6 separate regions of the Mus musculus genome follow, and all the other regions are reported to be linked to region 5. Evidence: microRNA targets listed by miRTarBase, many of them from high-throughput screens and not tested one by one. Region 5 holds a microRNA gene; each other region holds the end of a gene's coding sequence. Distances are from middle to middle.

Region 1 (4,088 bases), not on the chromosome of region 5:
GTTTGCCTTTTTTATTATCCCAGCAAATATTACACTAGAGGGAATGATTGGGAAAATACAAATAGATTCATTAAAAACAGACTGATTATTTGTTCTAGTACATTCAGAAATATCCAAAAACAGTTGTTATATTGCAAAGCTGTAATTTTTCCTAGCAAAGCACTGTTTTATAAAATGGTAGTGTTGCCATTGATTCCATTGTAATATAAAACCCTTATATACATAAGACAATATAAAAGTAAACTGGGTAGTGCCCTCCACAAAGGAATATACTAAGGCACTTTACAAATAGACCAATATGTTGACCCAAATTACAGTTTTAGATTCAAAAACAGACTGTTTTACTTTAAATATCAAAGGAATTTTTTTATTAAAGGAAAATTTCTAAAGTACCTTGGGTAACAGCAGCAGCATATCTAAAAACTCCTCCCACTGGGTTTCTAATTTCTAACATATTATTAAATCAGAATAAAACATTTCCACTCACAGTTTTGCACTTCTCAACAGCAGAAGGTAAATAACTTTTTATAAAAGTCAATCTCAAAGTGACTTCTTAGTCATACATTCTATAGTTTCTATTACAAATAGGAAGGTAGGACAGATACAGCAACAGGGCCTGCCTCAGGACATCACTGCACAACATATACCAGTATGTACAAGCACATAATTATAGAGCACATTTTATAAATACCACTGATACACACTGAAGGGGCACGCACAGGAGACGGCGGGTTCTAGGGGAGAGCTGGAGAGCAGCGTCTTTGCCGTTTTAATTAAGTGTCTATGTTTTCTATGCTGTGCTCATTGTTTGCTCAGAAAGCAGCAACTCCTATGCTGGGAGAACTGGGTGTAGTCAGGGGTAAAATAACCAACATGAGCATCCAAAATGTTAAAATTGTGAACAAAATACTAAAATTGCAGATACCGAATCCTTGTATACTGCCTCAGACAAACGCTAGAAGCTTATACTGTCCGAGGGAAGCAAAGAAGGACGTAGAATTAGTGTTTACATTCTGAGGCACCATGGTCGTGGGGAGGGGCAGCACCTTAGCAGTCCTGCGTTGTGAACATGATCCAGGTGTAAAACCACTAAATGAAAATGTCAGTCTGAGTGAAGAGCCCGAAGGTCAGAGGGCTGTCTTTCTGACCTGTGGGAGGGACCCAGGCCAAACCTCCCTCAATGCATGCTTTGCATAGGGCCTTCAGACTTCAGACGCTCCATGCTGTGAAGACTGTCTGGTGACAGCTCTCATCAGGAGCCCTCAGAATCACAAGACACCAGTGCCGTTAGAACAGTGTTATAGACATGTCTGTGTTGTGCTGCTTTCATGTTATAGACATGTCTGTGCTGTGTTGCTTTCACGGGCTCATTCCAAGAGCAGATCATTACTTGTTTACAAACGTGCTCATCTGAGCGCTGTGCAATAAAGTCAAAGGATATCAAAGGTCTTACTTTGATATAGCAATTGACTCACAGGATGTAGGTCTTTAACCTGCTGTCTGGGAAGTTTTATCACACCCAGGGTCTCTTGAGAGTGCATGCAACACTTTCTAATGTATGTGTGGATACACACTTTTTTTCAGTAGGGCCTGAGTTCACATAGTCTTTATCTCAAAATGATCTATGGTCTGAAGGCTCACTTGTACACGTGACAGGTTCCAAGCTCAACATGAAAGTGTAAGCTAATAATGTTTTTCTCTCTCCCCAATTCAAACAAATAGCTTTGCTTTTAATTTTACTATACATATGGTTTTAAACAAATTATCTTTTATAAGAAAGCTAGATAGGTAAACATCATTCCTAGCCACAAACATTAAGTCTGATAAAGCAATTCATGTCAATAAACCTTGAAAAAATGAAATAATATACATACAAACTTTACTAAGGTCAGAGTACAGCCCCATTCTTCTTCCTAAAAGATGTTCCTAAGATGTTTGTTAGGGATCCACAATTCTTCCTTAGAACCTAAACATTATATAAATAGGACATTAATCTTAAATAACTTAGGAAGTTTTCACTTTCTAAACTACTATGTATCTAATTAGGGATGCTCATCCCAATTAAGAGTTAATTAATAATTATTTTTAACCAATTAATCTACTCTTAGGTATAATAGTGCCAAATAGTTACATTTCCTTTGCCAACAATTTGTATTGTAGCACTGTTCTGAAAAAGGAAATCTATAGCATCAATGACACAATCAAGATTGGTCACTGTACAACAAAGGTACCTTTATGTGGCAGGGGCTAGGGACTGAACCCAAGGCTTTGTGTATGTTAGGCAAGTGCTCTACCACTGAGCCATATCCTTAGCCCCTAGAAAATGTACTTTCTTAGTGAGTACATACACGTAAATTAAAAAAAAAAATTACAAACTGAAAATAATTTCTTTACTTAGGAGATGGAAATTTTTCTTCTAATTTTAAGATACAAATATTACAGATCTTAGTTTCAGTTTGAAAATTCAATTCATGGCAACTTTGTTCCCTTTTAAAACTGGAAACAGCTGGGTGTGGTGGCACACACTTTTAATTCCAGCTCTCGGGGGAGGCAGAGTCTGGTGAACCTCTGAGTCTGAGGCCAGCCTGGTCACAGAGCGAGTTCCAGGACAGCCAGGGCTACACAGAGAAACCCTGTCTCAATCCCCTGCCCCCCAAAAAACCAAACCAAAACAAAAAAAAAAAAATCAAAACAAAACAATACCCCCACCCCTCGAAAAAAAACCCAAAACCAAACCAAAACAAAAATCCCAATAAAACAAAAACTGGAAGCAGCATTAATACCAATCTGGAAACAAAACTAGCAGTGCTCTGGCTTCTTTAAAGCCGGTATCTGAAAGAAAAATGCTAGGTTAGGTTGAAGACTTCTGGGGAGGGAAGGGGTAAGCTGCATTATTTCTAGTGAACATATTGTTTTTGCTCTGTATTTGTGATTACAGGATATGACTTCAAGATTAAAATTACTCTAGGAACACCTTACCTTCTAAAACAACGGCTTGATTTCTTTAGCGTATTGGGAACTAAACCCAAAGTTACAAGGGAAATATGGTTATATTTCATATTTGGTTAAAGCAAGATAAAACTGTCTTTCAAAAATCTTCAAAAATTCTTGAATTTTAAAATTATTTATCATATATACAAAAGATACCAGGCTTCTCTTTTTAAACAGAGCACTATTTTTTAAGTACTTTAAGTACCAAGAATTGACTATAATACTCAGTTCATAATTTACTTTCCTTATAACAATTTTTTCTAAATTACTGAATTAAAAGGGTGGAATAAATTAACATTTTAAAACAATTTCCCATAACTTAGGAAAATAAAATATTGTACACAGAGCACACAAACTCTGTCACATTTGCATAATTTTCTCAAAACTTCAAAAACCCCTGCACTTCAGGCCTCTTGCAAATTCTTACAATGATCTCCTAGTTTATTAAACATACACTAGATCTCGGTTGTTTCCATCGGAGCTTGTGTGTTGATCATCTTCATCAGACTGTTGTTCTGAGCCCTGTGAATGAATGTATTCATACTCAATAGGCTTTGGATAATTATATGGGTAGCCATTGTCATCAAAAAACCTCCGAAAGGTGAACTCATAGAAAGCGTGCTCGGGGTGCTTCCCATTTTTATACCATCCGTTCAGAGTGTCACTGATATTTTCCTCCTCGCTGCCATCGCTCCACAATTTATCAGGATCAACAGGGTCGAAATTGGATGTATCTGTTGGATGCGTGATTTTAGGGATGTATGAAGCAGACTGCTGTCTCAGATCACTAGAGAAATCGATGGTCTTAAAAAATGGATGAGCCTTTATCTCATCAGCACCGTTCTTGCCGAGGCGGTCTTCTGGTCCTCGACAAAGTTTGATAATGAGGTCAGAGGCTTCAGGACTCAGCTTAGCTTGAGGAGGGATGTGAAGAGAAGTTTGCCAGTTGATAACCTTTAGAGAAGAGTTTTAAAAATTAGGAAGAGATAAAACACAGTAATTTCCCAGGTTTTGTACCAAATGTCTTCCTGGACTACTTGGTTTTCTAAATGATCTGCCGGGTACTTTACCTTTAATAATAATCACTGCTGAAAACA
Region 2 (4,088 bases), 43 Mb from region 5:
AATTTTCCAACGCAGGCCTGTTGGCAGTGAAAGGCAAGCTAGCCTTTTCCTTCTTAGCTAGCCAGAATTTCTTTCTGACAGAAGCAAAAGGCTCAGTTCCAGCCTTCAAGCCCAACAGGGACATTGCCCATCAGAGCCAGGCCAAGTCCTGGTATCTAGACTGGAGCTTGTGCGAGCTCCCTAGGCTGCCGGTGGCCACGGTGTGGGTGGAAGCTTCCATGATAAGGGAACAGTGCCATCTGCTGGCGGTGTATCGCAGGGCCAACGAACGCATCAGGTTCCAAGTACCCCCCAAAAGTCTTGAAGTCTGCGATGCTCTGCTGTGAATTCTTGAGTGCCCTCAAAAGAAACCACCGATTGGACAGGATAAAAACTGAGGCAAGAACGAGACAAGATCAGGCTGGACCCAAGGACCAGCTCTGGAACTGTGACTCAAAAACTGTCAGGGTTGAGCACGGAAATCTCGTTATTTCCCCTTCGAAAAATCTGGCGCAGAACCAAGGTTTGTTCTAGCCTAAAGATGGCAGTCGTCCCTATACCCACCCATAAGCCAGAAATGCTTTGAAATACACACTTTCCATTGGCTGAGTGGACAGTGTTAGGTGTGTTTCTAAGAATATCATAACAGAAGCATGATGTTTCAAATGGGAATTGCGTAGGGCAACAGGCAGAGATCAGCAGCTTCCACGCAGAAGGCTCCTCCAAGAGACCTTAGTGCCCGGACCCTGCCCACAGGGTTCAAGGCGACACAAGGAAAGCATAACGTTAGACCTGCAATGGCCTCAGCAGGAGCCCCATATGCGTTTTATAAAATATCACAATGAGAACATTGTTCTGTGCTCAATAGCCCGACTGTTGCAACTGATGCCTTTAGTATGAATAGGGCCATTTACAGTTCTCAGCCATTTGCACTTAGTGACAATACACATCAGAAAACAAGCCCAGAAGCAGAGATTTTTTTCGCTCTGAGGCCCATTGGCTTTAAATACACATACACGCGCCCTTTAATGTGCCCAACTTCCAAAAATACCCTGAGCCTTTGAGAGAAAATATTCTTATCCCTGCTGTTTGCAACTGATATACTGACTCGGGTCTCATGTTAATTTGCAAAGCTGGTTGTCTGTACATAGGGCTGAACAAATGGAGCCGGTTTTGTCCTGTGTTTTGGACCATCACATACCACCCCAGGATCAGTCTTCTCTAAATACAGTACAAGCCCTAGCTGCCTTTCTGGGACTTCAGGCCTCATCTTCATCTGTAACTCATGGTTCTCAAGAAAAACCTTCCACACAGCCTGGCAAATGCTATGATGACAGACTCTAACTTCAGCAGACTTTCTTTCTTTCTTTCTTTCTTTCTTTCTTTCTTTCTTTCTTTCTTTCTTTCTATATTTATTTTGGAGGCATAGTTAGTTGGTAAGGGTCAGACAAAACCATGTGTTTGTGTATGGGTGTGTGACTGCCACAGCATTTGTGTTGGGTCAAAAGACAATTTCTGGGGCTTGAGAGATGGCTCAGCGGTTAAGAGCATGGACTGCTCTTTCAAAGGTTCTGTGTTCAATTCCCAGCAACCACATGGTGGCTCACAACCATCTGTAATCTGTAATGGGATCTGATGCCCTCTTCTGGTGTGTCTGAGGACAGCAGCAGTGTACTCATACATAAAAGAATAAATAAATTACAAAAAAAGAAAAAGAAAGAAAGACAACTTCTGGGAGTTGGTTCTTCTGTGGAATCTGGGGTTTGAACTCAGGTTATCAGACTTCTATAGCAAATGCTTTTGTGTGGTGATCCAGTTACCAGGGCAGTTAGCAATTGCTGGGGTGGGGGTGGGGGTCAGTGGAATGCCCCTCAGCCCCTCCTGCTTTCAAACCTGGTTCTCCAGTCTCTTCAGACATTGCTGAGCCAGACTGACACTTTACCAAGTCTCTCTTCCATTTTGGTCAGCCTGGACTGTTGCTGGAGTTTGTCAATCTCACACACACACACACACACACACACACACACAGAGAGAGAGAGAGAGAGAGAGAGAGAGAGAGAGAGAGAGAGAGTGTTAGTTTCCCTTGTCGGCTGCAGGCAATGCATGCTCCTCTTAGAGAGTTTATTAGAATATAAAATGCAATGCTTGTTTATACCTTAAGCTTCTTCTCTCTTGACCCTCCTGCCTCCCACCAACTCTGACAGAGGGACTCGCCATCACACGGGAGTGTGCAGGGTTTATAATCCTTCCTCATGCTTTTTTTTTTTTTTTTTTTTTTGGTTTTGTTCTTTGGTTTTTTTGTTTTTGTTGTTGTTGTTTTTGTTTGTTTGTTTGTTTTTGTTTTGTTTTATGAGACAGGGTTTTTCTGTGTAGCCCTGGCTGTCCTGGAACTCACTCTGTAGACCAGGCTGGCCTTGAACTCAGAGATCTGCCTGCCTCTGCCTCCCAAGTGCTGGGATTAAAGGCGTGCACCACTACGCCCGGCTTGTGCTTTGTTTTTGTGGTCGCTCTATGAGGGCTTGAACCCAGACTCTCACACATGGCAAGCAAGCACTCTACAGCTCTATCTGTAGCCCTCTCTTTAAGTTACTTTTATATTTATTTGTTTATTTAGGGGTGTTGTGCCTGCATGTATGTCTGTGCATTACCTGTGTGCAAACCAGAGAGTGTCAGATTCCCTGGAACTGGAGTTACAGACGGGTGTGGGCCATATACCATAGATGCGTGAAATAAAACCCAGGTCCTCTGGCAGAACAGCACGTGATCTTAACTGCTGGTCCATCTCTTCACACACACACACACCCCCAACCCTGTATCCCCAACTCCCACCCCTGCAGACTTCTTTTTTCTGTCTTTTGTGGAGGCAGACCTCCCCCAACCCTGTATACCTAACCCGAAACCCTGCAGCCCTCTTTTTACGTCTTATTTTGAGGGAGAGTCTCCTAAGTTGTCCAGGCTGGCTTTGAGTTCCCTTTGTAGCCCGGATAGACCTTACACTTGAAATCTTCAGCTTCCCATATAGCGGGGAGTACAGCTACACCACCAGGCCAGGCTTTGAATACTGCAGTTTTTACGACCCACAAATTCCCAAAGAATTACAAACTTGAATAAGGTCACAGGAGAACACCGTGGGAAGATGTGTCCTAGGAAGGCCTGGTCTGACTCCTCCCTACTCCCTCAAGGGAAAGCTCTCTATAAAGCATCGCCCCAGTTGTGGGTGAGCCTGGGACAATGTTCCCACCTCCGCTACATGTAACTAGATAAGGGTAGCAAGAAAAGGTTGTTTGTTTAGAGGACGGATTGCTGGGGCCCAGGTCAGTCTGGGAGAAAGGGGATGATGGCTGAGGTCGCTCCAGATAGTGTCCAGTTGGTCCTTAAGGAACCGGATTCGATCGTCCAGGCTGCGCTGCTGTGACAGGATCCTGGCCTTGGAGGCCAGCAGCACACAATAGGAGCGCAGATGCTCTGCGGGCAGCTCCCGCTCCAACACCTGACGCAGGGTTTGCTCCCGCCGAGCCACGTGCTCCTTCAGCTCCTTAGCTTCTTCTTGCTGTCGCTGCAGAAGTTGGAGTCGCTGCAGCAGAGAGGCCTGGAACCACCGGGAGAGGGCGCAGTGAACACCGTTGCTTCCCGGATGATCCGGGCGGTAGAAGGAAGGCCCCTCCAAACCCTGCTCTTCCCCCAACCTCAACCTATTTTACCCTCTCATCAGGGTCGCTGTTTGAGCCCGCCCTAGCCAAGGCGAGGTTTACACGGACCAGGCGACTGCCTAGCAGCAGCAGCAGACCAAGCACACGCTCTAGATCAGTCATGAACCGGCGGAACCGTTCCAGCTCCCGGGGTGTACAGGCCTGGCTCACAGCAGCCTCTAGAGCTCCGTTGCGTTGGGTCCAGTCTGCGGCGGTCCCCCGCAGTCGCTCCTGCTCAGCGTGAAGATCCTGCAGCATCTTTTGGAGGAGGCGGGCTAGTTCCACCTACCGGGAGGGCCTAAGTATTCAAAAACTGGGCCAAGTCTGGATTTCTCCAACCAGACACTAAGCCGCGGCCCCACCCAGCTTCCATCCCCCTACCCACCCCACCCCTTCCCCCACTCACTTTCTTGGCCTGGG
Region 3 (4,088 bases), not on the chromosome of region 5:
TTAGCTCTGATGCTGTGAGGGGAAGAAATGAGAAAATTCACCACATGTATATCAAAATGTATAGAAACAGCAGCTCATAAAAAATAGACACTGAGCCGGACGTGGTCGCGCACGCCTTTAATCCCAGCACTCGGGAGGCAGGGGCAGGTGGATTTCTGAGTTTGAGGCCAGCCTGGTCTACAAAGTGAGTTCTAGGACAGCCAGGGCTACACAGAGAAACCCTGTCTTGAGGAAAACCAAAAACAAAAAACAAACAAACAAAAAAAAGACATTGAAAATAAAAATGAACCAGACCCCTGAGCTAGCAGTTTAGTTATGTTCTATCTGCTGTGTATTTTACCAGATGACATCGGCTACACAGAAATGTGGGGGATGGGGTGATGATCAGTTTTCTATCGGTGGCTGTTTGGGCTTTGTTTCCACCTGCAGCAGATTTTTATCGTCTTTTGGTGACTGAGGACATCTAGTCACTGAAATATGCCCAGTGTTTCTTGGCATACTCTGATCTGCTTTCTGCTTAGAGTTCAGACTGTAAGACAGGCATGTCTAACCTGAACAGTCTATGCAGTCACATGTGACAGAGGATAGCTATGAACGTAGCGCATTACAAAGTTGGAAACTTACTGAAGACACTGAGATGATTTTTTTGAAACTCGTGACTCAGTTTTCAAGAATGAGCTTTGTAAATGTTAACATATCTATAAGGCACACGAATCACTGCTCCTCCTCAGAATGGCTGAGGCCTGGCCCTTTGCAACTCCTTTGAGAAACAAATCATCACGTAAGAAAGACTCGTTTAGACTTTATTTCCAGTATTTGCTTTGCCAAAGTACTACTGTAATGAAATGCTAATAAAATAGGAGTGTGGCTAAACTCATGTACAGTTTATTTACGTAATAATCTAAACTTTAAAACTTAAGAGTGTGAAAATAATTCTTTTGTGACTGAAGTAAAAAACTTAGCTCTATAACCATCCGTGTGCCAACCAAGGGACTTGACTCCCACTTGTAGTCCTTCTCCATGTGACCCTTCTCAGGTACCTCCCCATTTCAGGACCTCCTCTCACAGGTAAACCATTCCAGATCCTCCTGTGCTGTCTCTACCCCCAAGGTCTGTCTACTTCCACTTGACCCCGAACAGCAATAAAATATGCTACTAACATTTTCAGTTGAAAAAGACAGAAAGCATACTTAGGATGGAAGGCGGGCATGCCACAGACTCAAACAGTGATGTGATTCCCCTGGAAAATGTGTCATTTTAAAAGATAAATCTTAGAGAAAGCCATGAGGTGGTCTGTCCAAGATCACATGGGCAAACCAGTGGAGTAACAGAAAACTAGAGCCTATGTGGCTTCCTTCAATGGTCTAATGAATTAGGAAACACAATCTTAAAAAACTGTTTCTTAGATGTACTAGAAAAAAATAACTTCTCAAAAGACTGGTAATACAGCAGAAAGACATGGTAAATAGCTACGGACAAGAGCTTTATCTGAAGGTGGAATTACCTGGCTTCTGCTCAGAGTGCCTGCTATCAGCTCTGTCAAGGTAGTTCTGAAAACTAAATGTGGAATAGGAAGCGGGCCAAGTGCTCCTTAACCATTCTATAACTGAACTGTTTTCTGGGTAAGTATTTTCAAGTTTGCCATCTCTCTACACAGAAAGATATGCACAGGGTAGAATATAGGATCTGAACACAAACTGACTACTTTGTTCACTTCCTGCATGGCTACTGACAAATAACCACACACAGGTTCCAATGTCTGTAAATCAAACACCCAACTCAGATCCACTCCACAAAATACTACCTATGACCTAGACAGATTGCTTTCTCCATATTAAGGCTCTCTATCCCCATCCTCTGTAAAATAAGGCTATGTGGGAAAGCTCACTTAACAGACTTCATAGTGCATCCTCACACAAGGCTAGTCCCTAATAGGTGTCTAGATGCTGGGAGTTCCCAGTGCTGGTAACTAGCAAGAGTGATTCACCATACCTAAACTGCTTACAGACTATGAGTGACTTCTACCACTTGCCTTCCTGTGGGAATGGAACTGCTGTGAAAGGTCACATGAATAGATCTCACTCTATCAAAATCTTGATAGTCTCCAGTGAGCTTTCCTGGGAATTTGTTGTGTTTCTAGTTATACCCCTAAACTAAACAATGCTCCCTGGGATTCCACAGTGTAACCCCTGGTGGCTCCATCTGGCTCCCTCTAGATTCTTCTACATGCCTGTTCTCTGCTGATTTTATCTTTCTTGCTAACACAAATCTTAGTCCTGAGGGCAACCATAGGTTGAGTATTAGAAACTATGGCAAGTCACAGAACCTGGGTATCTTGAGAAATTACCATTTACAAGTACTTAGCTCATAAAACCAGAGTAAGGATTATGTAAGTTATGTACAAAGGGTCAACTCATATAAGCTGTATGTAAATGAGTTATAAGTACTTATCAATACATGCAAAATTATCAACCCAAGAATGTAATACACACTTGTAATCACAGCATGTGGGAGCCTGAGGCAGGAAGACTGTCCACCTGGGCTATGTAGTAAGATTGTCTCAAAAAAAAAATAGTAAAAGTCACACAAAAAGTAATACCATGCCCGGCGTGGTGGTTGTATGCCTTTAATCCCAACACTTGGGAGGCAGAGGCAGGTGGATTTCTGAGTTCGAGGCCAGCCTGGTCTACAAAGTGAGTTCCAGGACAGCCAGGGCTATACAGAGAAACCCTGTCTTGAAAAACCATTTAAAAAAAAAAAAAAAGCAACACCATTACTTTTAAATGACAAATATTATTGACTGCATATCATTGCTAATAAATAACATGCTTATTGAATACAGGACCAGCTCAATTCTAAATATTCACTGGGGTACCGGCTGGGCATAAGAAATATTTGGTTTTTTGGTGGTGGTGGGGTGTTCCAAACAAGATAAATTTTGGTAATATAACTACTATATTACTCAACAACTCTTACATGAAATCAGGAAAGGGAGTAGAGGTAAAAACTGAGAAAACATTTCTTAGAGTAAGAATATTGTATTTTTTTCCCCTTAGAACTAAAATATATAGTTGTACTTGTTTTGCTAAATATTAGCAGCTCAAAAATGTTTCAAAAAAAGTATCTCTAATAGCTGCATAGCATCGTAGAAAAACATTATCTGCTAAGGCCCCACTGCACTGCTCAAAGGGTGGAAAGACTTGAGTTCTCACAACGAGTAGCTCTACTGGGCCACTTTTGGTGGCAAAGGAACAGAGTAAAAATATCAAGAGACCCCAGACTGCAGACTGCCATGGGGAGAGACTCCCTCTGGCCTTGAGTTTCATTACATTCTTATTTTTCTAATATGACCTTCTCTACTTTCTTAAATTTTTTAAGTTCGACAAGTAGTTCCCAGTATTTGAGATACATCCACATGAGCTTCCCATTTTGACGTTTGTTGGTGTTCCAGACATCTCCACAATGCTTATCATGCTTAAATATGTCAGACAAGCCAGCTGCCATTTCTAGGTCAGCAGCCACTGGATCAACAGATGTGCGCACCAGTAAGCTCTTCTCCAGCTCTAGTCGTGCACTACGGGGGATGATCAGGCTACAATAGATATTTTGGCGTTCCTCGAGAGCTTCTCCCACCTCTTTCAGCACATGCTGGGCTCTCCTCTGCCAGTCATCCTCTTCTTGCAGGCAGCTCAAATAGACATTTCTCAGAGGCTGGAGCCGGCTTTTTTCTTGCTTTATCTGAGCCCGTTCCTGTTCGAGAAGTTTCTTTTCTTCTGCCAACTTACGCCCCTGCGAGATGAGGGCTTCTCGAAAACTACTTGTTCTATTTTGCTCTTTTTCCAGTTCCAAAGACAGCTGAGCCACAGCGCGCCGGTGTTCTGAGATCACAGCATGGTATTTGGCTTCAAGATCCTGTTGGAAAGCAGCTGTTCTCTGATGATATGCTTTTCTGGCTTTTTCTATCTCTTTTTGGGATTCCCTAGACCAAATCCAACCTGACACGAATAAAAGAGATGAGGAAGACACGTGAAGAGACATAACTAAAATCCTATGACTACTTAAAGAAAATACGTAACACAGTAATGACA
Region 4 (4,088 bases), 16 Mb from region 5:
ACCAGTGGACAGATGAAAAAAAAATGTCCCGGCAATGTAGCATGACCACAGAGATACCAGGGCCTTCGGACAGAGCTGTGCCTTTCTTAGGGTCTCCTAGCAGAACTCCTCTCAACATTCAGGTGACAGGCCAAACATCTTCTCTTGAGACGCCCTGTCTGACATTTCCTCAAGAGGCCCTCTTGGGGATGCCCTGCCTTGTGCCCAGCTTGGATTTTTCTATTGTTTTTTTTTTGCCTCATTCCTGAAACTCTCAATGAAATGGCCTTGTGAGTGTAATTAATTGATGATTTATCGCCAAGCCCCATAGACTCTTGAGATAGTTTTGTCTCCCTGATTGCTGCCCTTGGCCTCATGACAGTGAATGAGTTAATGGACGCTGGGTGGCCAACCTGTGTGCCGGATCTCTCCCCAGCCCCTGCCGGGACCATGCTATGATGTGTCTCTGTCTCCTCCCTTTGCAGTGAGTATGGAGTTCGGAAGGGCTGTATGGCTCCGTTTCCACCCATCGGCTTATCCCCCGTGCCCCCACCCAAGCTTTGTGGCACACTTGGGTGGCGTGGCCGTGGGCATCACCCTGGGCGTGGTGGTTCTCAGAAATTACGAGCAGAGGCTGCAGGACCAGTCGCTGTGGTGGATCTTTGTGACCATGTACACCATCTTCGTGCTGTTTGCTGTCTTCTGGAACATCTTTGCCTACACACTGCTGGACTTGAAGCTGCCACCCGCCCCCTAAGGGACCAGAGGTCCAAGGCAGGGCGGGGAAACAGAAGCATCCCGAGAAAGTACCTGCATCTGCTTCTCATCTCCAATTCAGTGAAAGCAGGGAGAACCGGAGACTGTTGGAGCTGGGGGGTGCGTGTTGCTTTGAAAGGATGGTGGGGAGATGGATGTGGCTGCTGTCATCTTTCTAGGCTGGTCTGATGATATGGAGTCATGGGTAAGGTCTGAGGCAGGGTAAGAGTGGCTGTCCCTGTGGCTTGGGCTTGTCCCATGCATTCCCTCTCACTGCCACAGAGTGAGCAAATAGCCCTCTTCCCTAGTCTCCACCTGGAGAGACACAGAGAAGTTCTGAGGATAGCCACAGCCAGGCTTGCCACGGCCCAGAGGTGACTGTAGGCTAGGCCACATTCTCTTTGCAGCTCAAGGTCTGGTGCTCTGGCAATGGATGTGATGGCTTTGATCCGGGGGAGCCCAGAGCAAGCCAGGCTCCAGTCCTGTCAGTGGTGCTATGGCATTGCTCCTAGGGCTGGGCAGGGAGATGCTATAAGCTCCAGGCCTTTTTCTTGCCCTAGGGGAGGGCCCTGTGCTGAGGTAATGACTTTCTTCATCCCAGGTTCCCCCAAGAGAGTTCCAGGACGGTTTCTTCTTCCTGCCTGTAGTCACGAGTCAGCATTCCAGACCATCGCTCTGCATCCATGCCCTATCTGGACTGTGGGGTCTCTTCTTTCCTTTCTACTGCCCTGACCCTACTTTGTGCCTCTCTCTTTGGGTGTGGAGACAGGGTTTTGTGTGTGTGTGTGTGTGTGTGTGTGTGTGTGTGTGTGTGTGTGCAATGTCAGGCAAGTCAGAAGCTGCAGAGGGAAGAAGTGGGAGACAATGTACACAAGAGGATATCTACAGGGGATTTCTGGAATGGGTAGCAGCAGTGTGCTCTCCAGTGCTCGCTCAGTGGCCTTGCCTTTAGCATCATGCACCCCCTTTCCCATCTTGCCCTCCCAAACACCTGCTGAGCACCACTGACTGGTGGAAAAACTGTCGAGCTAGAGGGAAGACCAAAGCACTACCAGACATTTGAGAGAAAACTCTCAGCTGTATTCTTCTGGTTCTCTTGGGGGTAGCTTTTGTGTCTGTACTGCCGCCTGTAGAAGGAAGTCTTTGGGATGAAAGAAAGCCCAGGACAGTGATACTGTGGCCATCTCTCCATGTGAATTAGTGGGACAAGAAGCTGTAGTAAAATATATTTTGGTGGAAAACGTAGCCTCTGAGAAGAATTGGGGAAGCTTGGGTGAGGGAATGTCCCCAGTGAGAGCAGCTGAGGGTTAGATGGCTCCATCTACAGGGACTTGGAAGTACTCTTACAGGGAAGTGAGATTGGGGGGCGTGGCCTTGTGCTGTCCATACCCCAGCAGCCTGGGATGCCACATCAGGTGTTTGGCAAGGTAACTGTAGACTCAGAGCCCAGTGCCTCTGCTCCTCTGAGACAGTCTACTCAGGCTGGCACGAGACGCTTCTGGGGACCCTAAGTGGAGGCTGTGAGGCAGGTGACCTTTATAGGGACTTTCAGCCCCTGGGATAAGGAACCACAGGTCTGAGATTGGAGGGAGGCAGGAGGATGAGAACTGCTCCTGGTCCTCTCACCATCCCAGCAATACCTCCCAGCTCATCTCCATTCTCCTGAGTCCCTCAGCCCTTCCTCTCTCCAATGTGGCCACCCATCAGGGCTGGGAGTCACTCCTCATGCTGGAGGCTGTAGGTTGGCCTCAAAGGCTGGGGAATCCCCAAACAGCAGCTATGTAGACTAGCTTGCATTTAAAGGGGAGAAGACTCATGGAAACCAGACAAGGGAAAACGGGCTTTCAAAAAAAGAGGAATTTCTCTTTAATGATACCATTCATCACTTGATTTTTTTTTTTTTAATTAGGAGAAGCTCCCTAACCGGGCTCTTTAAATTCTGCATTTCCATGTGAACCATTCTTGCCTAGAGCATTAGTGGAGGCATCGCTCACCGAACCCAGATCTTCCTCTAGTGTCCAATTCAGTTTGCAGATAATGAGGTTTACCCAGTGCTGTGTGCTTCCCAGGGCTGGCTGCAAATCGTTGACTCTCCTCTGCCTTAAAAACAGTGCCCGTCAGTGAGCTGCCCTCCCAGGACTAAGTGAAAATCAAAACACTAGCCGCGACGTTGGTTTCTAGATATTTTTGTATTGTGTACATTCTGTATATTTTTGTTGTAACATATTATTTGAGCACAGATTCCATTAAAGATTTTTTTAAGCTGTTGGTTATTCAGGGAGTGACCTCAAGGGCTGCCATGCTACCTGCTTTGCCTGTGTCTGGTTCATGGTGGGTGGGGAGAGTGAAAACGGGCAGTGGTGGGTGGGTGGCTCTGGCACTGGTGGTTGGCACTGTCTTCCTTAACCTTCTCAGAGTGGTTGGTGAACACTGAAGGTTCTTTCCATGAAAACACACCCACTGGGCTGGAGAGATGGCTCAGCGGTTAAGAGAACCGACTGCTCTTCCTGAGTTCAAATCCCAGCAACCACATGGTGCCTCACAACCATCTGTAATGTGATCTGATGTCCTCTTCTAGTGTGTCTGAAGACAGCTACAATGTACTTACATATAATAAATAAATAAATCTTAAAAAAAAAAAAAAAAGAAAGAAAAGAAAAAAAGAAAACACCCACATAGGTCGCTTCCCGGACAGTTTTCGAGGTGGGTGCCAGCAGATAGAGAGGAGTCTCAGCCCCCTGTCCCCTCAGGCCTATTTTTCCCTTCCATTCATCTAGTTCTAAGTACCTCCCTCCAAGTCGCTCTAGGGATGGACAGTTGGCCACAGAATGAAGAAATGACAAATACGTGGATTCAAGAATGGAAAATCTGGGATTGAGTGGATGTGGATGGAGAAGCCCCAGCCCTGCCCCACGAGCTCAAAGTGTTTATATATACTGTTGGACAGGCAACTCAGGTTGTGGTATCCAGATGAACAGGAAGGCAAGTGTAGCTAACCTCGTAGACACAGTCTCTGTAGGGACGCAGTCTTCAGGCCATAAACATGTGGAGGGGCAAAATTACGGTAGACATTCTCTGCACACTATCTATATTCACACACAGACCAGAGGAAACCTTTCCCATCTCTCCAAGTCTCTTCCAGGGAAGGCATTGCTGCTCCTGTGGGGATGACACACTGGGGTCTTTGACATGGCCTTGTCTTTGTCAACAACACATCTACTCAGGAATATATATATATATATATATATGTATATATATATATATATATATATATATATATACACATACACATATATACATACATGTGTGTATATATATGTGTGCATGTATATATGGTATGTGTATATATCTTA
Region 5 (4,088 bases):
GCCGGCGTAATTGGGGTTTACTGGACACACACAGAGAGAGAGGGAGAAAGAGAAAGTTTTATTGCCCCCGAAAGGGAGGAGGGAAACCCTTTCTTCCTTCCAGCTAACACCGAGCCTCCTGCTCCCACTACCTCATCTTGGAGGGAGGGGGTCGAAAAAGGAAGACCCGTGAAAGAAAAAAAAAAAAAAAACTCAAACTTTTGGAGGGCTGTACTGTTGTCCTTGTTGCCTGGGGGAGGGGCACTGTGAGGAATCTTGGAAAGATTTTCATCTCACTCTTTGGCTTGAGGACCCCAATGGCGTGGGGTAGTGGGAGGGGGTGTTGCCCTAGACCTTTCCCCGGCTTAGTTCCCACCCTCACTGCTCAGATTCCAAGCAGCGCCTTCCCCTTAGTAAAAACTTTTGCCTACTTCTCCAGCCAAGGTACCAGATTGGAAGAAAGGGGAAAAAAAAAAAAAAAAGAAATCCAGGAAGTTGATTCAACTCTGTGCTTAAATAGGGATTACCTCCTCCTCTTCCTTCTCCTCCCCTCCTCCCACACCCCTCCCCAACTTCCAACTTTACTGGGACTGCGAATCCCTGGCGAAAAAGTCGCTGGGAGAATGAAGAAGAGGATGACTTCAAAGGCGCAGGGCCCACTAGGCCATAAAAATTTATGGGCGATGTAATTATGTGGCTCTGAAAACAGGAGACCGTAAATCTCTGGCAATGGCGAGTTTATAGCGGGGACAATTGGCTTCCCCTCGCTCCCTCCCCCACATGCCTCGGAGGTCCCTTCACTGTAAAGCGCCGGGGGTGGGAGGGGAAGGGGTGCCCACGCACTCACCCGTGCTCACGTGAACTTTGCGCATCCAGGGGTAGACGACGGGCTCTTTGCACGCGGAGTGGGACGGGCTGGGATGCAGGGGGTTCTGGGCGCAGGGAGGCGGCGGGGGGCTGCTGCTGACCGCCTCGCTGCGCTGCCCGGGCTCCGGGAGGAGGGCCCCGGCTGTTGGCTGCACTGGAGCCCGAGGGGACAGCCCGGGCGGTGGCGGGGGCGGCGGGGGCGGCGGAGGTGGCGGGGGCCCGGGGTCTCGGCAGGCCGCGTAGCGCTGCACAGTGCACGGCGCCCGGCGCCCAAAGGCCGCCTCCGGCTGGAAGCCGCTCTCTCGCCTCTGGCCGCCGGCGTAGTACCCGGGCGAGTGGTCGCTGGGTAGGTAATCGCTCTGTGAATACTCCTCGCACGGAGGGAACTTGGGGTCGACATAGTTTGAGTTGATCAAAAAGGAACTCATAGCCATTAATTTCTGGGAATTGCCCACAAAATATACTAAAATTTATTCCGACCCCTGACTCGTTTTCCTGTTTCCGAAAGCCCTCCTACTTACTGTCAAGTGAACAAAGTTAGAGGCCCACGTGATCCTCCGAGCCAATGGCCACCCGGCCTGCGATTCCCGGATAAGGAAATCTGCTCACCCGGACCCTACTCCAGCCAAAGAGGTTTATTTCCCCTTCTCTACCCCTCCCCACCCACCCAACACCAGGATTTACATAGGGCTCCCGCGGGGAGACCCCCTCCTCGCCTGGCTTTCTCCACAACAGAGAGGGGTGATGAACTAAGAAAGAGTGAGCAGGTTAATTGGAGGGCCTGTTTGGGGGTGAGGGGGCTGGGCAGAGCACAAACCCTGCATCCCTCAGAAGTTGGGGCTGCGGGTGTAGCCCCCACCCCTGCCCTACCTAATCTCCACCAACCTTTCTCTGACTCCCATAGGGCCCCATCTCCTCCCCAGGATAAGAGGGAGCTCACGCACTAGGTGTCTGTGTGGGGTTTTAAGTGGTTGGCCGACCAGGGAGCGCCTTCTTGAAATGGGTACCCACTAGGTCATAGGGGCGCTGAGCTTGGGGCTTCTCAGTGCAGCCAGATGGGGAGGGGTAGGAGGTGAGTGAGGAGGCGTCGGGAGCTAGAAGGCGGGTGCGCAGAGGGACTTGTCAGAGATGAATGGAACCGCGAGCAGATCGATAGGAAATTCACGCACTAATTCGGGGAGACTTCGCCTTCCAAATCGCATTTAGCTGCACTATGAGCATCGGCTGTGTCCGTCAGTCTGTCCTCCTCAACACTCCCTCCCTTTAACCCACAAGGCCCAAGGTCAGAGGAACGGCTGGACTCCCTCCACTAAAGACAGAAGATACAATGAAACCAAACCAAACCCGCAAGTTCCTAAAACCAATTGAATAGTAATTTGCTAATTCCAGATTCGTCGAAGCAATGCTAACCAAGAGTTCTAATTGCCGCTAAAGCCGCCGCCTCTGTCAGTGTGGCAGAAAGAAATTTCACAACCTTGAATACTAAGTAAAGGAGCCCTAGCTGTGACGCCCCCACCAACATCACACGCACAAGAACACCCATGGCAACCTTATGTTTTCAGGGCATCTTGTCTTGAATTCAACGAAACAGCAATCTTCGCATCCTTTTAAAAAGCAAATTTCCTTTGCCTTTGCACACTGCAGCCTTCAGCAATCTTTTTTTCCTCCTCATGATTTCCAATAAAGCCCCCTGGACCCAGAATAAGAATAGGTAGGTTGGGGCTTAAAGATAAATTTTAAAACACCAGTAACATTAATCTCTTGAGTGAACAAGGACCCAAGCTTCCAGGGGTGTGCATGGGGACACCTCAGGTAGATGAGATTTCTCCCTCATTGGTTGAGGGAGGAAAAGAAAAGGAGTCTTCTTGAAGGCAGTCACTGGATTGTCCTCATTTAGAAAATAATCTATTTTTCTTCTGGGAAAGAATATGAGCGGAGTGTTTATGTCAACTACATATTCCCCTAGATACGAATTTGTGACCACAAAATTCCTTACACAAATTCGGATCTACAGGGTATATACAGAAGACAGACAGGTCTTCTTGGCCCAGGAAATTTCCAGTTCTCTTACTTTCCGTGCGTTCTTCTTTTGGGTGTGATCTGAATGTTTTCATTTTTATTTCGTTTTGTTTTAATTTTGAGATCTGGGAGCAGAAAAGTCACTGTGGGTCCGTTCTTGGGATTACAAGGGGTTTCAACTTTCTATTCAAAAAATAAAATAAGATTTTTTAAAAAGGCAGCTGTTGTGCAAAGGGACTCGAACCTCGTGGCTGCCGCGCGACTTTCGGTGGCGCATGAATTATTAGATGTAAACATTAGCTAAGCACAAAAGAAGGAAGGGTCATCCCGAGGCTGCCTCGAAGTCAGAATCAGGCCTTTCTGGGTGCCCTCGGCCCCTCCCCTCCCCCCATGACTTTTTTTTTTTTAAGAAAAAATACAAAACCCCAAATAGGTTCCTCCCTTGCCCCCACAGCCTTTAGTTTGTGATCAAACACATATATAGATATTTTCCAAAGCAAAGGGAGGAGGGAGAGGTGTCTGGGTGTGAAGGGGGTGTAATAAAAGTCCTTTTGGAAAAAGTGAATGCTAAAAAGAGAGAGAAAAACAGCTGTGAGGAAAAATGCTGGGAGACCAAACAGATGGCCCCCCCCCCCATATTTAATGACGGGCAATTCCGTTTACAACCTGAGAAGAAGATCAAAGGCAGTTCATTTCCGAATGAAGGGCAATGAGGAACCATAAAAGTTGCAGCCAGATGATGTGCAGGCCCCTCCCAACCTCACATATCCCCCCCATACCTCCTGGAGGCTGGAATAAGGGGACACCCCCCTAGAGGTGTGAGGAGGACCCCCCCTACCCACACCTTATCCCCAGGCAAGGATCCTCTGTCTAGAGGCTCACTAACTGGGCCCATCCACCTGCTTGGGTTGCTGGCTGTGTGGCCAAAATGGGATTCTGGAGTTTTTGGGTGAACTTCCTGAAGCTCCCACTAACATTTGACTTTTCTAAACTGAAAAAATGAGAAATTGAGGATCTGGAGTTTAAACTGGGAGAGCTGTGACCAGGTGAGGGCAAGTGTGTCCAGCAGAGTCTTTCTCACTATCACCACCGCTATAACACCCTAGGCTTGGGGGATACTTCTGCCCTTACTGAGTAAATTACAACACAGTCAATTTCATGAACATACACAAACAAGCCAAACCCACGCATGCACACACCAGGAACCCTTGCAAATGGGCAGG
Region 6 (4,088 bases), not on the chromosome of region 5:
TAGAATGGCAATATTTCTAGAAATGTATATGGGGAAAAAAAGCCTTTCCAAGCCAAGAGGGATGGTGAGAGGCTGGGAGGTTACATCAGCGTTTCTCAGATCTCCCTAGCAGCTGCCATAATTTCCCTGACACCCTTCAAAACTTGAGAATGGAAGGATCAGGGGGCAACCGACACAGATCTGACAAGAGAAGCCTAAACCACATCAAATAGAAATAACACTGTTATTCCTGACTGGTTCACATTAATAGGATTTGTAGTAACTCTGAAGATGCTTGGTAGTTGTGTTTTCAGAATCCTGCCTATTAAAGCTCTGCTGCAGCCTCACAGAGCACTCTCCCCTTCCAACGGCCCAAATGCAAGAGAGCTCTTTATGGTTAATATGTTCCACACTGTTCAAGTCCAACATAAAATTGTTGCAGCATTTTTAGTGTTTTTAAGTTCATGTCCTTAATCAGCATATAACCCACGTAGCAATTCTGACCACAAGTTGTTCCTACAGGGACAGTGTGCTATTGACAGGAAAACATCCACATCTTTGAGCTGCAGAGGTGGCAGGATTTCACTAGTACTGAGGCCATGAGCTAGGATTGGGAGGGTGTATTTTTGAGTTCTAAAGGCAATGTTGTTTGCCAATCAGACTCCATATTGAGCCAGGCTTAGATGGGAACCCAAACAGCTATGAAATCTTACTCTGGATGGGAGGTTTAGCTGTGGTAGAGCACTTGTCTATTTTACACAAGTTTCAGAGATCCATCCCTACCACTCCAGAAATAGAAAGAGAATTATTTTAAATGTTCTCTGCAGAGCTCATGATGGTGGGTTTTTTCCTTTCTTATATGTTTCATTTTATACAGAATAACCAAATGTTTGTGCTCTTGATATTTAAACAATTCAGGTATAACTTTATAAGTTTTCTGTTACAGACATTATATCTTTCTATTTATGTATTTAAATGATAAGTAAGGCAATATATCAAAAGGCAATGCATATAATCATTAAGGTAACAGATCTTTATATCTCTACAGTAGGCAAATCTTTATGTAGATAAAAGAGCAAAGAGCAGAGTATTTAGTATTGCTTAAGTCAAATGCTTAGTAGAAGAAAACGAGAAAGCAATGTAAATTATATATTAAAGTAATTGGAGAATAATGTGGTGGATACTTTATTGCATGAGACCTTGTGAAAGAAAAAGATCTAATCCTAAATATTTCTGTATATGAGTATGTGCACATTCATTATTATAAAAGTATAAGTCTATATTAAAAAGAAATTTACTTTAAAAAAATCTTTGGTAAAGATCCTCTGAGGTGACTCAACAGGAAAGCACTGGGTAGGCTACGAGCAAGGGAGCTCTGCCCTTAACACCTCAGGGAAGAATGGGCAGCATTTTCCTATAAATCTTGCATGTAAACATCTGGTTACAAGTAGTTACATGTAACAAACATGGAGGATGTTATTGCTCTATAGTATAAATATTACATAAACTCTTCCTCTGCTGTCTACATTTCTAGACATTACTCCTGCCCCTTACTTATACTGCACTCTACTTTTGGCTTAAAGACATTTCCTGAAATATTTCACGGTGAGCATTTTAGTCAGTTCAGGCTTGTATTCACCTCGACTGTCTGTTAGCGTTCCTCGAGGTCACCAGCACAGGTGAGCCTTTGATTTGCAGCACAGGGATTCAGAGCTAGAGAGCGCCCACTGAATTCTGAGATCCACAGGCTGCCTCCATGAATCTCAAGAGAAGAGAAGCCAGGTGAGAGCAGGGGGCAAGGGAAAGGCCCCAAAATGCCAGCTTTGGGGATTCTAACAGGCAAACTGCCTGTGGAGAAAGTCAATAAGCCACAGACTGACCCAGAGGGGCTGTGTGACAATGGCCTAAGGGCTTCTTTTAATCACTTTTAAGATGACTTCTATTCAAGTAAAATAAACTTTATGGAATTCCTGAGGCATGGGTTGCAATTTTAAACATGCACAAGTAATTAAACAGGTTTTTTTTTTTTTTTGCTCTAAATGTTAAAATTAAAACTGTCAGACTAGAAAATCATCATGTCATAAAGATTAAAAAAAAAAGAAAAAGACACGGAAGAGCTGGGGATGCTGGGGTGCCAGGGCACATGCCGAGCACATGAGGCCCTAGTTCAACTCCCAGTACTATATAAAAGAGATAAAAAGATATTTGTGGAGTTTAAAAAATTTAAAGTGACTATACTTCTAGAACGGTGTTAGCTATAGAGGGACCTTTATATTATTATTTATACCTTTCTGTAATATTTAAGGTATTCCATAATTTAAAGGTATATATCTGTAGAAGATTTAAAGAAAGCTTTGAGAAATCTCATTCTGAGATACTGACTTTACAATAATGGCCAACTGCAACTGCAAAGCGAGGTGTCTCCTCTTAACGAAGCGAACTGGCTCCAGTTGGCAAGCAAGTGTTTCACTGGCTAATAAGAGTTCGCATAAAGATTCCAGGCAGGCATTCCGCATATTTTTACCTCAGAAAGACAATTTGGTTTTCAGCGATTGTCTTTGAAAGTGTGGTGTGAATGTCACGTTGATGATAGGAAAATGTCTCCTGCAGTATGTACTTGAGTTACAGAGGATTGTAAGAATAATAAACTCTGGTTTCACAATCTTTCCCAGCTTTTTTTTCTCTTTTTTAAAGAAGATGAAACATGGTCCTATAATTTCATTTTATGTGTCCCGATTTGCAATTTTCAGGCAAAAGAGATTTAGGTTTGGGTCACTATAAAGTGAAAGAAAGAAAGATAAGAATTTGATTCATTTTAATACTTATCTTTCTGAAGATAAATATTAATTGCAGTAACCATGCTTATATATTAGGTGAAGTTTCACAGTGCTTTAAGGATGAAGAGTTGGATAGATTTATAAATGTACCAAAAGCAAGCCTGACAGTCTTATATCCAGAGAGTGTGGTGAGCTAACTCTCAGGGTGGGATTGTGGAAATACAACGGGCCTTCCAGATACACCTAGAATTCTGCCTCTTTAGCACAGTGGTGAAACTTGGTTTTATTTCCCCACATTTTAGATATTGGCTAATCAATGTTTTCCAATGAGCCTTGACTGCTGAATTTGGATAGTTGCAGACTAAAGTGGGCTCCTGTTAACTTTTTCAAATAAACTCTTTATAGCTTAACATAGAAAAATATCCCCCTACCATTATTTTAGCAAGAGACGTCAGGGGTGTAGTGCAATGGGAAACTTCACCTTTTCAATACCTGGTAACAGAATGACTGCCTTTTGTAGCCACAGCCAGAGGAAAAGTGACAGACAGGACAAGACTTAAGGCACCTGCAGGCTGGCACATTCACCCAGGAAAAATCATGTGACAGCAAATACCACACTAAAAATCTATTCAACCACATGAGAAGTGAGACAAACATGAGGATTAAAAGTCTCAGGAATGCAGAAGTGAATGGGACGGAGTATAATCTGTGCAAAAATGTGGAAGTCCTTGGAACAAAGGCTCACCAAGGCCTTGCATGATTAAATGTGAAATGTGTATTTGGTAAGAACGTAGACAAATCGTATTCTCTATGCGCTTCTACAGAAAGGTTAATAGCACATGAAGAACAGAGACTATCCTAGTGGTTGAGCTATGCCTCTATTTTTCTACTTCTTCTCTTATCTTTTTCTTGTGTTGCGCTCTTCTTGCTGGCATGCACTCGGCAGCTGAGCTGGCTATTGACTCTACAGGTCAGTGCTTGCCTTGGCCGTCAAGACCCTGATGCGAGCCGAGTTGCAGGTCTTACAGAGAATGTGTCCATCCAAGGGGTAGCAGCCTTGGTTGTCTCCTTCGGACAGAAGACCACCACAGTCCTAAGGAAATGAAGACAGTGATGTAAGTGAACTGAACTACAGGGATAAACCCACTTTCCCCGAGCCTCTTAAGAGGCTTTCATAATGGGGACATTGTACCCCAACACTAGTACAAGTAGTAGCAGATTGTGAATGAAACTAAATTAGAGATTAACAACATAAATGCAATGGTAGCCAGGAGTAGTGGCACATACCTTTAATCCTAGAACTCAGGAAGCAGAGGCAAGTGGACCTCTATG

The links. The annotated mature microRNA mmu-miR-10a-5p reads UACCCUGUAGAUCCGAAUUUGUG and lies in region 5 at 2,842-2,864, opposite strand. An mRNA with a match to its seed (bases 2 to 7 or 8) in the 3' UTR can be bound and repressed. Matches are read on the target gene's strand: a 7mer-m8 pairs with bases 2 to 8, a 7mer-A1 pairs with bases 2 to 7 and ends in A, and an 8mer does both.
Region 1: miRTarBase lists Lats1 as a target of mmu-miR-10a-5p. Seed matches in the 3' UTR shown: 7mer-m8 at 2,631-2,637.
Region 2: miRTarBase lists Shroom1 as a target of mmu-miR-10a-5p. Seed matches in the 3' UTR shown: 7mer-m8 at 2,857-2,863 and 7mer-m8 at 2,787-2,793.
Region 3: miRTarBase lists Ccdc127 as a target of mmu-miR-10a-5p. Seed matches in the 3' UTR shown: 7mer-m8 at 2,728-2,734.
Region 4: miRTarBase lists Rhbdl3 as a target of mmu-miR-10a-5p. Seed matches in the 3' UTR shown: 7mer-A1 at 954-960 and 7mer-m8 at 1,501-1,507.
Region 6: miRTarBase lists Lpp as a target of mmu-miR-10a-5p. The part of its 3' UTR that is shown has no 7-base or 8-base seed match.

What each region holds. Positions count from the first base shown.
Region 1 is chr10:7,712,358-7,716,445 of GRCm38, reverse strand. Lats1 (large tumor suppressor) reads right to left here. Exons shown (of 8, transcript NM_010690.1): 8 at 1-3,945. The coding sequence ends at 3,436. Among named protein-coding and RNA genes, the nearest start is that of Katna1, 12 kb to the left of the region's middle.
Region 2 is chr11:53,466,243-53,470,330 of GRCm38, reverse strand. Shroom1 (shroom family member 1) reads right to left here. Exons shown (of 8, transcript NM_027917.3): 6 at 4,075-4,088; 7 at 3,681-3,953; 8 at 2,565-3,568. The coding sequence ends at 3,236. Among named protein-coding and RNA genes, the nearest start is that of Shroom1, 11 kb to the right of the region's middle.
Region 3 is chr13:74,356,363-74,360,450 of GRCm38, reverse strand. It overlaps Ccdc127 (coiled-coil domain containing 127), which reads right to left. Exons shown (of 3, transcript NM_001168659.1): 3 at 783-3,995. The coding sequence ends at 3,334. It overlaps Lrrc14b (leucine rich repeat containing 14B), which reads left to right. Exons shown (of 2, transcript NM_001033042.3): 2 at 1-869. Among named protein-coding and RNA genes, the nearest start is that of Lrrc14b, 5.6 kb to the left of the region's middle.
Region 4 is chr11:80,352,948-80,357,035 of GRCm38, forward strand. It overlaps Rhbdl3 (rhomboid like 3), which reads left to right. Exons shown (of 9, transcript NM_139228.3): 9 at 465-3,039. The coding sequence ends at 736. Among named protein-coding and RNA genes, the nearest start is that of 5730455P16Rik, 23 kb to the right of the region's middle.
Region 5 is chr11:96,315,962-96,320,049 of GRCm38, reverse strand. It overlaps Mir10a (microRNA 10a), which reads right to left and starts at 2,885; the gene lies at 2,776-2,885. It overlaps Hoxb4 (homeobox B4), which reads right to left and starts at 1,783. Exons shown (of 2, transcript NM_010459.7): 1 at 827-1,783; 2 at 1-20. The coding sequence starts at 1,280. It also overlaps a transcript of Hoxb3 not described here.
Region 6 is chr16:24,978,954-24,983,041 of GRCm38, reverse strand. Lpp (LIM domain containing preferred translocation partner in lipoma) reads right to left here. Exons shown (of 13, transcript NM_178665.5): 13 at 1-3,849. The coding sequence ends at 3,721. Among named protein-coding and RNA genes, the nearest start is that of Gm52245, 40 kb to the right of the region's middle.